Oreochromis niloticus: one gene and its partner. The protein of the gene in region 1 binds, or shares a complex with, the protein of each later gene. Links are inferred from orthologs where the notes say so. Each region holds a gene or a part of one and is shown on either strand. Other genes may lie near its edges.

What was found. Proteins that work in one complex are often made in the same cells at the same time.
Region 2: immt (region 1) and micos13 share a complex: the UniProt entries of both Homo sapiens proteins name them as parts of the mitochondrial contact site and cristae organizing system (MICOS) complex. The link is inferred for Oreochromis niloticus from reciprocal best matches to the Homo sapiens genes IMMT and MICOS13.

Annotation. Positions count from the first base shown.
Region 1 is NC_031966.2:2,141,356-2,148,666, forward strand, and holds the start of immt (MICOS complex subunit MIC60), read right to left. Parts: upstream 3,048-7,311; 5' UTR 2,914-3,047; coding exon 2,872-2,913; intron 1,203-2,871; coding exon 1,135-1,202; intron 777-1,134; coding exon 587-776; intron 199-586; coding exon 72-198; intron 1-71. Other genes in the region: slbp (histone RNA hairpin-binding protein), read right to left, coding at 4,027-4,086, 4,535-4,643, 4,724-4,879, 4,987-5,109, 5,842-5,913, 6,020-6,133, 6,662-6,805. UniProt on the Homo sapiens protein: Component of the MICOS complex, a large protein complex of the mitochondrial inner membrane that plays crucial roles in the maintenance of crista junctions, inner membrane architecture, and formation of contact sites to the outer membrane.
Region 2 is NC_031986.2:33,823,039-33,830,537, reverse strand, and holds the start of micos13 (MICOS complex subunit MIC13), read left to right. Parts: upstream 1-4,458; 5' UTR 4,459-4,603; coding exon 4,604-4,632; intron 4,633-5,022; coding exon 5,023-5,179; intron 5,180-6,319; coding exon 6,320-6,377; intron 6,378-6,626; coding exon 6,627-6,724; 3' UTR 6,725-7,499. Other genes in the region: hydroxysteroid 11-beta-dehydrogenase 1-like protein, read right to left, coding at 436-529, 607-810, 960-1,090, 4,031-4,115. UniProt on the Homo sapiens protein: Component of the MICOS complex, a large protein complex of the mitochondrial inner membrane that plays crucial roles in the maintenance of crista junctions, inner membrane architecture, and formation of contact sites to the outer membrane.

The DNA.
Region 1 (7,311 bases):
AAAAGCACACGATAAAAGGCAGATGGTAACATGAAGCCACGAGTTATAATGACAGTGGGTGCCACACTTACCCTCTATGCTCTGTGCAGGCTTACTGGGGACGGGGCTGGAGTCTTTGACTGGACCCTCGGCTCCCTCCTTCTTCGCCGACTTCTTCACTTGTTTTTCTATCATAGAGGGCGGCTGGGCCAACTCCACCTTAACAGCAACCATTTAAATCAAAGCATACATTATTACAGTGTGGTTGTAGAAATATTTTTACTCTTTCTATACAAATATTTATATTGTATTGTATGGAAGTTTATTTGCTGATATCTTCAATTCTGAGTCAAATTTTAACAGACACACACTGGAAAGGTGGAGGTATGGAGGTGGAGGTATGGAGGTGGAGGTATGGGGGCTTCAACGCAGTCTGATCAGCCATTTTAACATACAGTAAACCATCAGAGAACAGATAGTTGCTCACAAATGGAGAGTCGGTAAAAGAAAAAAATGTTAGATTGTTCTTCCACTACCTGATGGTGAAATACAAACAAACTTTGTGTCCTGTAACTATAATTAGGATGAGCTGGGGACAGCACCGTACCCGTTTCTTTATGGGGAGGCCAGGATCTTGGGCAGGGGGTCCCAAAGCCAAACCCAGCAGCCAGTCTGAGTATGGGACGTTCTTCTCAACCGCTGCTCTGAACTTGTGGTCCCATTTGGCATAGAGTATGGTCCCTCCAATGCCACCACTTACTGTCAACAAGCCAGCAACAACCACTTTGGAAGCACTACTGGAATGAAAAAGGACAAGCAGACATGAATGAATGCCACAGGACAGTCTCGCTAACGGCCTTTGAGACGGGACGCAGCATTCTGTGTGTATCCTAGTTCAGCTGACTTTATGACACAACTTTAGGCCCAAATAGTGACCTCAGGAGGAAAACAATGTTGTAGAAATGACACACTGCTACGGATACCGCTAAAGATCTTCTCTTGAGGATGAGAGATCCACGTTTTGAAATGACGTGGAGCCAGAGCGCAGGGACCAGCGGGACACAGATTTGGTGGTCAGCACAGCACATGTCACATCTATGTGAGAAGCCCTTAAGAAGACAGTTGAATACTGTACTGTGTGTGTTGGTGTGTTACCTGCTCTCTCCTGCTGTGTAGTGCCGACACTGCTGCAGACTGGTAAGAGGGATTCTCCTGTAGTTCTTCTGGAAAGTGGTGAGGAAAGCGTGACAGTGAAAAGAAATCCATGTCAGACAGATCCAGAACGGACACACATTTATAGCAAGGACACCTTAGAGCAACAAATTCCAGTGCAAGCAACAAACTACCCAATGTTTTCCTTATCATTCCTTATTATCCTTGGATAAAAGGGTTGGGGAATTAGGTGCAGAGATGCGGTTCAAAAGGTAAAAACAGACTTTGTGCAACTCTAACAAGCCTGAAAATCAGTACTTTGTCTGAACACCTTTACTCTTCAAAACAGCCTGAACACTCTGAGCCATGTTTTCTTGTAATTACATTAAATAGTTTTCAGAAACAGAGGTTTCATCCTCTGTCAAGACGATGCCACACTGCTTGGATGGACACGGGTTAGTTTCAGAACAGCTTCATCAATTACATTTTTCAGTGGGAAGGTGGCAGTCAAGAAACAGACAGGGGTGTGGACTGAAACAGCGCAGAGCGCAGTCCTAGGAACAGCTAAGATACTGCGCAGGACCATCAAGCTATCAGGCCTCTGGCAGAGGAGCCGAGCTTGAAGGATAGACGCCTGCGGTGAGGGGGGGGGGTGTCGAGACTTTTGCGCAGTACTATACTGACAGGTCGGTCGTCAACATGTCGATGACAACCAGGTAATCAGCATTTGATGATTTCAGTTTTAAATTTCATGATATTCTTGTGACACACGAGCTTGCCCATTTAACTATAGCATAAGAAAAAAATCCAGTAAGTAATAAGCTCAGCGCGGTTTTTCATTTGCTGTTAAATCATAAAAATACATAAATTATCGTGATGAAATCAAAACAAAAATAAGCACAGAACTGTTGACTTACCATTTAAAACAGATCAGCAAATGAAGTACAAAGCATGATTTCTGAGCAGTAAACTGAACTCTTATTTTGTAAATACAGATTCAGGTGCATGGCAAACAAATCCAAGGTGAGTCCGGCAGAAACGAATATGTTACTGTGCGTTTAGTCAGGTGAAAAGAGCCGAGGTTCCCTCGTAATAAAACATCTGTGCAACAGTGTGACGCTGCAGACCAGAGATGTCAAACTTATTCCAGTCCACTTTAACAGGTGACAGCCACCTTTCTGTCACTGTACAGAAGTCTAGCTGCACATTCAATCCCAGAAATAGAACAAAGTTTTCGAGAATCCACATCATGCGTTAGTATTTGGGGATTTTACGAAGACAACCTGCAGCGTTTATTTATTCATTATAAAGTCTACGTGAAAACGCGTTTTTAAATGCTAGTGCCGCTAGTAGCATTTTAAAATACTGCTCCGGTTAGCTGTTATCAAACCTGTGGCCGATAAAAGGTCAAACAGAATGAACAGACAAGTTTTGGTTTTTGCCATGATGACCTCTCCGCTCAAACTTAGCCAAACTCGTTAGCTTGGTTATGGTTAAAACGCCATTATCCATCTGTCACCGGAAGAAAACCGGCTAACATTAGCATGCTGCGCTGATCTCTTTGACAGCTTCCACAACCAACTGCATTGCTTCAAATACAGCGCTCGACAGCACCGAAGAGTTAACAGCCCGAATTAGTCTACGACAAAATTGACTGTGGCACCTTGAGGCAGGCTCTGGGTCACTGAATGACAACACGCTAACGTTAGCCCGCGGCTGGGGAGCAGACAGAAGGCTTACCCGGGCGGTAGCATTAGCCCCTCTCAGACACGCTCTCAGCATGGTCTTCTCCTACTTTGGTTTCTGAGTTCGTAAATAAATCGACCTGCACAGAAACAGATTATTTCTTTGCTGCTCTTCTTCGTCTTTTCGCGCACCCTTCTTCTCCTCAGTACTTTGCGTGGATTAAACGTTTGCGTGCACAACAGCGCCCCCTTATGATGTTGCTAAATTACATTCGCGTCATTCTTCCATCTGACGTAAGTCAGACAGATGATCCTTATTCTTCCCAGCTCTCCTAAACTAAGCTAAACAGATTCTCACCAGTGACGGGCAGTTCTGGTTATCTATACTCTCAAGCACACAACACTGGTTTATGTGTGAGTTCATACAGTATTCAACACATTTTCCATTAATTACTACATCAGCTGTGTGAAGTGTGTCAGAGAGAAACTCTGGTTTCAAAGTCACTGTTTAAATCTGTGGCATGCTGTCCAACGGTGGACCAAGTTTTCAGCAGTTTTTAGCCAAAAATCACAAAAAAAGAAGAAATATTGATTTTTCTTGTTTGTTTTATTTGTTTTTTTTATTTCAAGTTCTATTAAAGATACAGCAGTAAGAAACAATTACATTTGTATTAAAACAAAACAAAACAGAACAGAACAGAAAACAAAAAGCCACAGCCCAATATTTCTCAAGGATAACTCAAAACAACACACATCATTGTCTCCGATTTTCCCACGTCCTTTAAACTATTAAGACGACCCCTCCGAGTTCAGACAGTTTCTATGCATCTGGAATCTTCTCAGGTAGAATATGAGAGATGTAAGCTCACATTTGCACGAAACTAGATGCACACTCCAACAGGCCTCTCACTGGTACAGCAAGTGGGGGTTTTTACATACCAAATTCTGAAACATGCTTGATTAAAAATGTAAAATCTTGCCATAAAATACTCTGAACAGATAAACTACAACAAATGGCCCAAACTGTGGATGGAGAAACATATGGTGAAAACAAAACTCAATATTAAAGTATAATCAATGACTACCAGCCAAAGACACAGCAGAGTGATGCTGTGTCCACACAGACTCTTAGCTGACAGCTGGAGCAGTTTTTCTGAGTGGACTGTGTGAAGTCGATGTCGGGGGGAAGACTCAACCATTCAATAACAAGCTATGACATATTAGGCTCTGCTGTCCTTTGTACTTTGACCGGAGTACCGCAGTCTTCATCCTGAGCAACACAACACAAACAACATCATTTAATACAGTGTTTGTAAGGGTGGCTTTCTCATCTGTTGATTAAACTTTGCACAAAAAGTAAGGAGACCTGTGTTTCTTCCCATTGGACAGCCTGGTTGTTTCCCCTTAAATGGGCCACATTTGTAAAGAAAAAATCCATTCGTGGGTTAAACAGCAGAGTTGAGTAAAGAGAAAGCTGAGCAAACACGTTTCCTTTCTTTTTGTGCCAAGTTTATAAGCAATCCCACCATCATCATCTTTATTTTCTTAAAAACTGATGGATCATCTAAACAATGGACCAAATAAATATTTAAACCAAGGTTCCAGAAAGATTTAGTCAAAACCTCTTAAACAAACTCTACAATCGTTACTTGTCCGTCAGTCGTCAGCACGTGTGTGGGCCTCAACATTTCAGCAGCACCTAAATGACTTCCACTCACCTCCACTGACAGGCTGTGTATCGGCAGCGAGGTCTGGCTGTTCTGGGAGTCAGTAATGGTTGGGAAATCTAGTTCAATGTCCATTACATCATCAAGGTTGAGCTCCTCACTGGTGGGACAAGGAGAAATCATACATGAGGACGGCTTTCAGCTGACTGACGACGTGCAGAATGTGTACGAGTGTCTTACACGACATCGAGGGTCTTGTCCTGGCCTTCCTCTGCAGGGGGGTCCCAGGCATGTAGTTTGACCTTCCACAGTTTGATCTGCTGGTCCCAGGAGCGACGACTGTACTTCCTGAACTTATTGGGAGTTTTTGGATGAACGCCTGGCTGACGCATGTGTCTGAAAACAAGAAACGCGGGGATTAACGTTGACCAGTGTATTACACACACAAGCAGTGGACAGGCTTTACACTGGATGTTCCACAGCATGCGTTTCTGTTGACCTACTTAGGAACTTCTTTGATGTAGCGGTCGTAGGCCAGCGTGTTCTTGCCATAGTTGATCTGTTTCTGTCGTCGTAGTAACACAGCTTCATCGGTTTCCAAGTTATCTCCCTCTCTGGAGTCACAGCTGAAGCACAGACACATTTAGTCCACATTCACATGCACACAATACAAAAATAGAGGCACAACTAACATTCATCACGAAAAGAGCCCGACTTCCTTCATAATGATTTTATTCTAAAATGATTGTAAACACAAAGTTGTTGAAAAATGAAAAGGTTATTGTCATGTTAAACAAACCTGTGTTACTGTTTAATGGACAAAACTACATTAGTAATGAGTTCAAAGCCCATGACATGATATAATACAATGTAACTACGTAACAGTAACTATGTAACAGTAGTCTGGAGTGTGTTGAGATGTCAGTAAGACTAGAAAAGTTCTGACAAACCAAAACTGGATCAGTTCAGGATTTGGGGAAACAGCAGTTAAAGCCATATTTGACACGTCGTCGTGTTTCAGCCTCGCTGTCACAAGGACAGAAAACCCTCATCGTCTCATAGCAGATATGATATTTATCACATCATATTTTGATGCTGAGCACTTTACTTTTGTTACCATATAACTGAGCTCCATTAGTGCAATCTGTTTTACCTTACTCGCCACTTTGTTCAGTGATACTGCGTTGATTTTATTTCATGTTTCCATTATTTTGGGGATGAATACGTTTTGTCTCGTCTTATTTAATGTTAATAATTGCACACTTGTATAGCTGCAGGTGGATGTGTGGTTTGAGAAGTGAGTGTTCCATCAGTTCATGAATATTCTGAGTTGAAAGGTCTGTGAGAGAATGAGATACCTTCCAGAAGAGCCAGACGAGGCCCTTCTCTCCCTCTGGGTGAATTCTGCCCCCAGTATCCTCCTCCTGTAACTGAACACAGTGCAAACAGTGAGTCTGCAATCCAAAACAGGAAGCCAGTCTCTGCTTTCAGGTGCTTAAAAAGACAACTGAAATAATGTAGAAACTGTTTAATTACCGCTGCATGTCTCTGTGCACATCCCTCCTCATCTCATCGTCCTCCACCTGGCTGCCCCAGTCAGCCTGTTGACCACAGCGGGACACTGGACCTGTGCTCTCTGGAGTAGTAAAGCTAGGAGGACAATACCACAGGTTACACACACACAGGGATGTTACTGCTACAGTTCCTGCAGATGTTGTGGCCACATGTTGGTAATGGAGTCAGTAAGCTGTTTTTTTAAAGTGGTTCATGAGCAGAGACTGGCTGGCTTCACTCAGCAATAATGTAGTTTGATTTTTTTAAAACACTACCATTCAAACTAAAATCATTCTAATAATTTACCAAATATTACTTTACAACCACTGTGTTATTTATTTTAATTTAAAACAAACAAACAAACTTGTTTTTCTTCTCGAGCCTACACTGGAGTTTGGATGTGAACTACACAGACCAATGAAATTCTCACGCTGTTTACATTTGACAAAGCACCTTTGAACAGGGCCATTAAAGCTGTGTGGGTCTGAAACACTAAAACTGAAACATTTCCCCAACAAATGCCAAAAATCCACAAAGCTTCAGCCGCCTCATGGCTTTTCAGTTATGAGTTCCCTGCATTAATATACATTTATCACTTTCCACATTAACTGAGCTTACTCTCACCTAGCATGTCTGCGATCAGGGTGTTTGTAGCTGGAGTCGGCGTGTCCGTTCCTTCTTTTATCAATATCATCTGCCTCGCTGTTGCTCCGCAGGCTCCCATTGACGCCCCTCTTCCTGCAGTGGGACCACCGAGATGGGCCAAAGCTACACAAGAAGACACAAAAAAAACGTGTAGATTTAAACATGCCAATTCATTCTTGTTTTGATATCAGATTTCTGCAAACAATTCTCAAAAACATTCTCTTCTGTGTCAAATTAGGGAAAAAAAATCATGGCTGTTAAAAATGCAAAACCAGCAAATATGTGCAAGAACTGCAAACACACGGTGGGACGCACGGTCCCACACAGGAAAACACTCATGACGGTTTCACGTCTCCGTATTCCACAATGGCAAAGCTGCACTAACTGCTTCAAAATGCTCCGGGGATTTCTTTTGAACCTTCTTAGACAGATTAAAGTTTAGAGAAGGTGAATTTTATTTAATAATAAATGATTAGTTGAGTACAGTGGGTAAAACTGGAGCCATACATTTCCTTTAATAGACAATTTCTCCCGCCAACTTCTTCCGATTGTTCGGACCATCATCCATCTGTGACTCTTGTTTTTCCTGGAGGAGGGCACTTAGGACCGCGTATTCTAATATCAGATAT
Region 2 (7,499 bases), on another chromosome or scaffold:
CCAAAAAAAGCCAACAACTGGACAATCAGTACTTCTGACTTTGACTGGCGCCCAATCCAGAAAACACTTTCCCTCTACAGATTCTCCTGCAGGTAGTTGACCCATGGTACAAGACCATTTTGGGCTTGTTTTAGTTGAGCTCACAAGAACTTATGGCCCAGCCACCTGGTGCACACAAACAAGCTCCAGAGTGGGTTATCAACTCTTGTCATCATAATACATTAAGTTAATCTTAATTACTGTATTACCATCACTTATTTATCAGTTGCAGTAGAAAGTGTCTTTAAAAAAATGTCAATTTAATTGTAATTGGTGGGTGAAAGTATTAGGAGGTATATATGTGCACACATACAATTTGTATTTTATAGTTTGTCATCATCTGCATAAAAAAGCATAAAGTATAAAAATGCTGAAGAAGTATAAAAACAAACCTACCTAAGAGCGATGAGACAACAACCAGTGATCCTTTATTTTGCTCAAGGGAGGGCAAAGCTTTCCAGGCCATCTGAATATAGCTGAAGAAATTGACCTTCACAAACAAACATTCATGAATCAGCATAGTCTCTCCATTTCCTGTTTTGAATGACCATCAAAATGCTCTGTTACCTTCATCAGCCATTTGGTGTGATCCACATCTCCCTTCCACATGCTGAAGGGGCTAGGCCCAATGTGATTGAGGACCAGGTAATCCAAACCTCCCAGCTTCTCCAGAGCATAATCCACCACTTTGTCAGGGTCAGACTCATTCGCCATGTCTGCTGCTATATAAAAAGCTTTCTGGGCTCCTAAGCTCAGACACTTTTCTACTACCTACAGGCCAAAATCATTAAAAATGCACTTGGTTAGTTTTATGAAAGAACTAAAGAATGTCTCTATTCATGACTGGCACAAAACAACAGAAGTAAATGGCAATCTATGAGCAGAATTTCAACCAATAACCTGTTATTACGTAAACTGACCTGCTGTAAGACTTTCTCCCTCCTTGCTGTGATAACAATTTGGGCTCCAAAGCGGGCGTAATGATACGCCATTTGTTCACCAATACCTGTACTGGCCCCAGTCACCAGTACCCTAGCCCCTTTGAGAGAATCTGAAACAAAGTTTTACCGTATTCAACATGGAATGGAATTGTTTTAATACATGAAAGGTTTATAGAAACAATAAAAATATGTGTTATTTCTATTAGTCAACAATAAATAGAGTAAATGACCACAGTAACTACTGCATACATTGTTAATGTGTCTAAGCATGCAGAAAAGGTTTTTAAGTGAACTTGATGACAATGAAATAGTTTAGTTTATCTAGAATCATTCTTTAGGCAGATATATACCCTAAAAAGATAAGCTAATCTTAGTCCTCCATTAGAGCTGGGCGATATAAGATTTTTTCATATCACGATATGTTTTTTCATTTCAGGCGATAACGATATATATCACAATATAAGCCAAATAACTATATTTGTAAGATTTAAATGTGCCGTTGCTCACAAGTAAAATGTGAAATAATCACCAGCTTGTTTTGATTTAAATATTTATTTCCCATAATAAGTTCAACAGGGTAGATGTACTTAAGGAACATGAGACTTCAGTTTCAGATAAATAAAGGCAAATATTACAAACTACACAAAAGGCAGCCGCTAAAGCGTTTAAGTTTCAAAATAGAACAAACAAAACAGACTACTAAATTGTCAGTTCCACTTAGAAACAAAATATTAATTCTAAAAATAAATCTTAGTTTGTTTTACAGACGAACAGACAAAATTTACTAACTTTTGTCAATATCAAATAAACTGAGAACTAAAAGGAAATTCTCAATCTCTCCTTGTTGTATAGCTTAGCTTTTCAAACAGTTTTAACAGTTACTTTAGTCTGACAAAAGCCGAATGACGAATTAGCGCTTTCAGTCAGAGATTGAGCATGCACCGCTTTATTGTATTTCCAGACTTGCTTTCGGCACAATTTACAGTGCGTGCTACTCTGTTTTTTGTCAGACTTGAAATAGCCGAAATACCTTCACACTACGGAACTTCTGTGGCCCTTCCGTTCGACAATCTCTCCGGTATTGGAACCATCATCTGTTTTTTCTTCGGTAACCTTCGCTCACGCTCTCGGTTGATTTTTCTCTAGTCAGCAAACTCATTTCCTTCATTACCTGGGCAGCCCGGCTGCAAAAACAAATATACATGTGAGCCTTGGCACTTGTGCTGTACGTATCAAGTCACGTGACGTGACGCTGCAGCTGTGATTGGTTCGGCTCTGCGCTACTTAATTTGGATTGGCTGTTCTTTTTTTTTTTTTTAAGAGGACAAGAGAGATGAGGCCTATCGCAATAGTTTATTTTTTCTATCGAGAAAAAGTTATTTCGCAATACATATCGTTATCGTTCTATCGCCCAGCTTTATCCTCCATATATTGCTTCAGGTCAAAGGGCATTTGAAACTTTTCCATCTTGAGAAATTGCAAAATGCATACTCTTCATTTGGACTAGTAAAATGCTTGGATATTGTGTTTATTTATTTATTTCACCAGAATTTCCATGCTGTATTTTGTTTTTGAAGGTCCCATATCACTCGTTTGTTGCTTTAATTCTTTGCCTGGTGCTATGAACATTTAAATATCCTGCAGGTTTAAAAATTTTCACTCCCCATGCTGGAGAATGGAGCCATATGTCAGTACCCTTTTCCTCTCAAAGGTTTAGCTAAATGTGCAATCAACTGCATGCTCTCCCTCTCTCTCTTATTCCACTTCTTATTCCCATGAAGGGTTAGGGTTCATGAAGCAGCCATTCAAACTGCATTTTATTACTAACCAAAGCAAACACAAGGCATCTGAAACAAATCGTCCTGCGCTGTCGTACATTTGTGAAATATAGGCATTTAAAAAATGTGGTATTTCATAAGGTTACAGTGTTGCAGAGTAGAGCACATGGGATATGCAAGTATACATAACACTAGTCCACTGACATGGACCGCATAATTTCATTGCTTGTGGAAAATTGACTCTACAGTGTGTTCTCAAAATGTGAATAAATGCAGGATTCTCTCTTTGGTAAGGCCTTGGTCACAAGCGGAGAGCAGAATATCATCAATTACTCGCTCACTTTGTGCTGTTTCTACTAATTTTCTTTAACAAATCATTAAATTGTTACTATTACCTTTCCAAGTTGGCAGTAATACCCACCCACACCATAAAACTGCCTTTTATTTGTTAACAATGTGGCATGTATTAGATCACAAACCTTTTTTTTTCTAATATAAATTGTTGGCTTAATTTTTTCAGATTTTATGTATCCTTTTTTTAATAGCAAAGTCTGACCTGGCATTTTTACTCAGAATTCTGATATCTGCTGTTGTTTTTGTTGTTTTCCGGGCCTTCTGTACATTGTTTTTTTCAAGAATGTAACTGGTAATTTAAACATTCCTGTGGTTTCTGGGTTTATAGCTCATGTTTTTGCTTTTTCAGCCTTTGATTCCATCATTAATTCTTCGAAACCCATATTGAACATGCAAATTGATTTCTTGGACTCAACTTCAGACCTTTTATCTCCTTAATCTGGCTACGCCTGGCCATAAAGCCTCATATAAGTTACTGGCCCGGGTGCTTTTGAGCTTCAAAAATTAAATCAAATATTAAAAAACATCAGTTTCGGGGTTGACTGCACATGTGATAGATGTCTATTAAAAACAGACTTCATATGTATAACAAACAATGACTATATGACTATAATAATGAGGTGTTACCAGATACTAAGTTATAACTACGACATAACCGAGTAGGCTAGCTAGGATTCCTGCACATGAGTCTTCCCTTTTTCATGTGAAACCTTCATTTTTAAGTTAAGTAAAAAAGTGTGACTCTATTTAGCTGTATTTACCTAATACATTGCAAATGCATACCACGCATATGTTTGGACCACTGTAGGCCCAACACCTATCACATTATTGTCTGCTGGACAAACCTGCATGCCTGCTGCAAGTTTGCAACTAAAAACAAGCAAGTACTTTCTCACAATGACAAAGAACAGAGTTTACCGGCATCAAATCTGGGTGAAGTCCATTTGGCAGCCAGGAAAGCAACACATATACTAGCTAAAAGAACTTTTGTGACAGCGCCCATTATGACAATTTGGTAGCAGCTGAGCGAAAATGCTAAGCTTTAGAAGTTTCTGCCAACTTTCACAATCCCAGTTTGAGAAAACAAAGTGCATTTTATGCAACCCACTATTTCTCCCCTCCTTCCACTTTGTAAGGGGCGGGGGTTGGTCAGACTGGCCTGCCCTTTTTCATGGACACAAATCATTTTTTTTGTTACTTTAATGCTTTTAAAAAATCTATATATTTTTTTAATTTACCAAAGCCCCAAAATCTTTAATTTATTTGCCTATAAATTTATAGTTTAAAAAATCAAGGCTGACGAATCTGCGCCTCCGAAATTACATCCGCCCTGACTTTTGAAACAGCAACTTTATTTACACAACACTGGTGCACACGGATCATCAAGCAGGGTTGTCCTTCAGTGAAGCTAACCAGCTAGCCTGATCTACGGCTCATTGTCGGAGTTCTCGCAATAACAGCTTCTTAAAGGAGAATAGACCGCGCTGAACGATGGCGACGAGGATTTGGCCTGTTATGAAGTTAGTATTTTTATTTCAACTCCCGCGGTTTCGTATACTATCACTTGTCTAAATGCTCTTATTGATAATTAAGCTAACTTAGGCTAAGCTAGCTGTCAGTCATACCAGGTCATTTTCAGTTGTTTTCGTTTTAGCTCCAATATTAAGACTTAAAATATGCTTTTCTTTATGGAGTTTAACGTTGGGCTGATATACTAACTTTCTGCAATAACGTGAGTTAATGTGGGCAGTTGTAAATTTCCCAACTATTAACTGATAACTTAGCATCAAAGAATAATTTGTTGTTTACTTTGATAATAACTACGTGTGTCTGTAGTTTCAGTTTGCCCTGTTGGGAAATTGGGGTATTTCAGATTAACTGCATTACTGCATCTGTTCTTTCATTTCCAGACTGGCCACCAAGGTGACCATTGCAGGAGGAGCTGTCTATGTTGCCTATGACTCTGGTCTCTTGGGGAACAGTGAACAGGGCTCAGAGGCTCTGCAGAAGGCCAAAGCAGTAATCCCACCCGCCATGGAGGAATGGATGAAGTACTTTGGTGTGGAGGTACAAGATGCACGTCATAAACAACTAGGTCTTCCTGGATCAGTGCCACTAGGCCTAATACAACATAAAGTAAAATGGTTTTAAAAAGTCATTGCATTAAATAGATCAGTGCTGCAGACAGCAAATTTGATGACTCATACCATAAATGTGTAGAAATTTCTTTTTGCTTTCTAGCCTTTCTCTTATGAGATCAGAAACGCTCTAATGAATACATAGTTACAGTACAATCATGACATCATAAACCTTTGTGAGGCATGTACTTTGATTCGTGGTAATGTATGCTGCAGACCTAACTAGCTCTGGAGCAGGTTGTGGTCTGGGTTAGAGCTCATCAGGTTGAAAATATAGTCAATAGCAATTCTAACAATTCTTCAGATTCTCCTGTGTCTTAAGTCTGGTAACTGAGACTCACCAGATTTAAGACTAAGACTTTATTAAAGTAAATATCTTTTCCAGCATTACTGACCAAAGTGCTTAAAGTGCTCATGCTCATACAGCACTTTTAATACTACTGGACTGTCCGTTTCTTCCCACACACACTCACACCACTCCTTTAGCTTCAACACTGCTGTTGCTATATGCCTGTATTATTTAATCTTTTCAAATTTTTCAGATATCATAGTTGTAGCTTTGTAAGATCCACCCATGTTTCTGACTGGTCGACTGCTGCCAACATCTTGCTGAATACACTCACAGCTAGATTTTTTTAACTCTGGCTTGGCTTAGTCGATAAACACCTTTGTAATTCTGCTCATCATGGTTCTCAGTGTTATTTTAATTGAAGTCAGATAATGGAAAGATATCCAGGAAATGCTGAAATTGCTTCATAGTACAGGTCCTAGTTCTTGCTGACAAATCAGTTCAAGTGATTAAAAAAAACAAACAAACAAAACAAAGAAAAGAAGCAAGAGTATTTATCCATTTCTTACTTATGATTTTATTCACGAACTCCAACAAGCAAGTTTTCACTTGAAACAATGTACAAATGTGTCTCCTCCTCATGATTTTATTTTAAAACCTGATTTGTTTATTTATGCATTTATTTTTTTATTACTGTTTTGCACTGGACAGAATAGTAGTTGTATTGTCCAGTTATAATAAACACTAATGCAAACTAATGCACCTTATCCCTCTTGTCAGGCTCAGCTTCCAACCATACCTAAGATTGAGTTCTCTCCTGTGGACGCGTGGAATTCTGGTAAGAATTCAATTATTTGTTCCTTTTTTAAAAAAGCAAGGGTAAAAATTTACTGTGGTCACAAGTTTTGCACAGACTTTCTGTTGTGTATTTCACTTGTTACATGCAGTAATAGTTTTAAAATTGTTTGGAGGCAGTAGTTTGTTTTAAAATAATTTTGGTATTGGTATTACTTTTGGTCTAGACCCTATATTGACCCTGATTTTTCAGTATCTAAAACCCAAACTTCTCTTTTTTCTTTTGTTGCAGGCGTACGGTGGACGATTTCAAATCTCTCTGAGGCCCCGACAAAAGCCACTGAATACACAAGTCAGGGGCTGCAGTACTTGAAGGACCTCACAAAGTGAACATGAACTCTCTGGGCAGCCTCACATTATCAGTCCTTTTGACTTTTGCACTTGACATTACTTCTTCAAATGTTGAACCCTGCCATAAGAATGAAGCAACACACAACGTCAAAGAAAACTGCTTGATTAAAAGATTAAAAGCAAGGAGTGTACTCTGCTGAATGGGTACTGTGGTTTTCTAACTGATAGTGGCCTTTGGTGGGAGATGTACATAATGGGAAGAAAATTTTATTTTTAAGAAGGCAATCTTTCATTTTGTGTATACCTCAAAATTGTGTATACCAAATAGTTGCTATCAGCACTGTCCAGTAGAGAGTGTTATTCTGCCCTCACCTTGCCCAAAAAATGTTAAGAATATCTGTATGTGTGTGTATATATATATATATATATATATGCAATTTCACTATTTGTGAGCAATATATCAATCTTAAAAGATTTTGTCTCATCTTTAGTTTGATCTATCAAGTCATATAACATAAAGTGCTCGGTCGACAAAAAGACCATACAAATGTGCAAAAATCTTTATTAATCATGACAATAATAATGACACAGTTTACTGCTGATTCTGCTACAACTTGAAAAGAGGGGGAGATGACTGAAAGCGTGAGGAAGAGCACACGCAGCCATTTATGATCGGTTGACTCCACTGTACACGATGCAGACACACTCCACAGCACCGCGAGCGGTGATGTTTAGTGTCATCCTTTTCTTTTATTTAAATGTAAGAAAACATTACCCATTCTGCCACGTGTTGTCACTTCTTCACATCCAAATA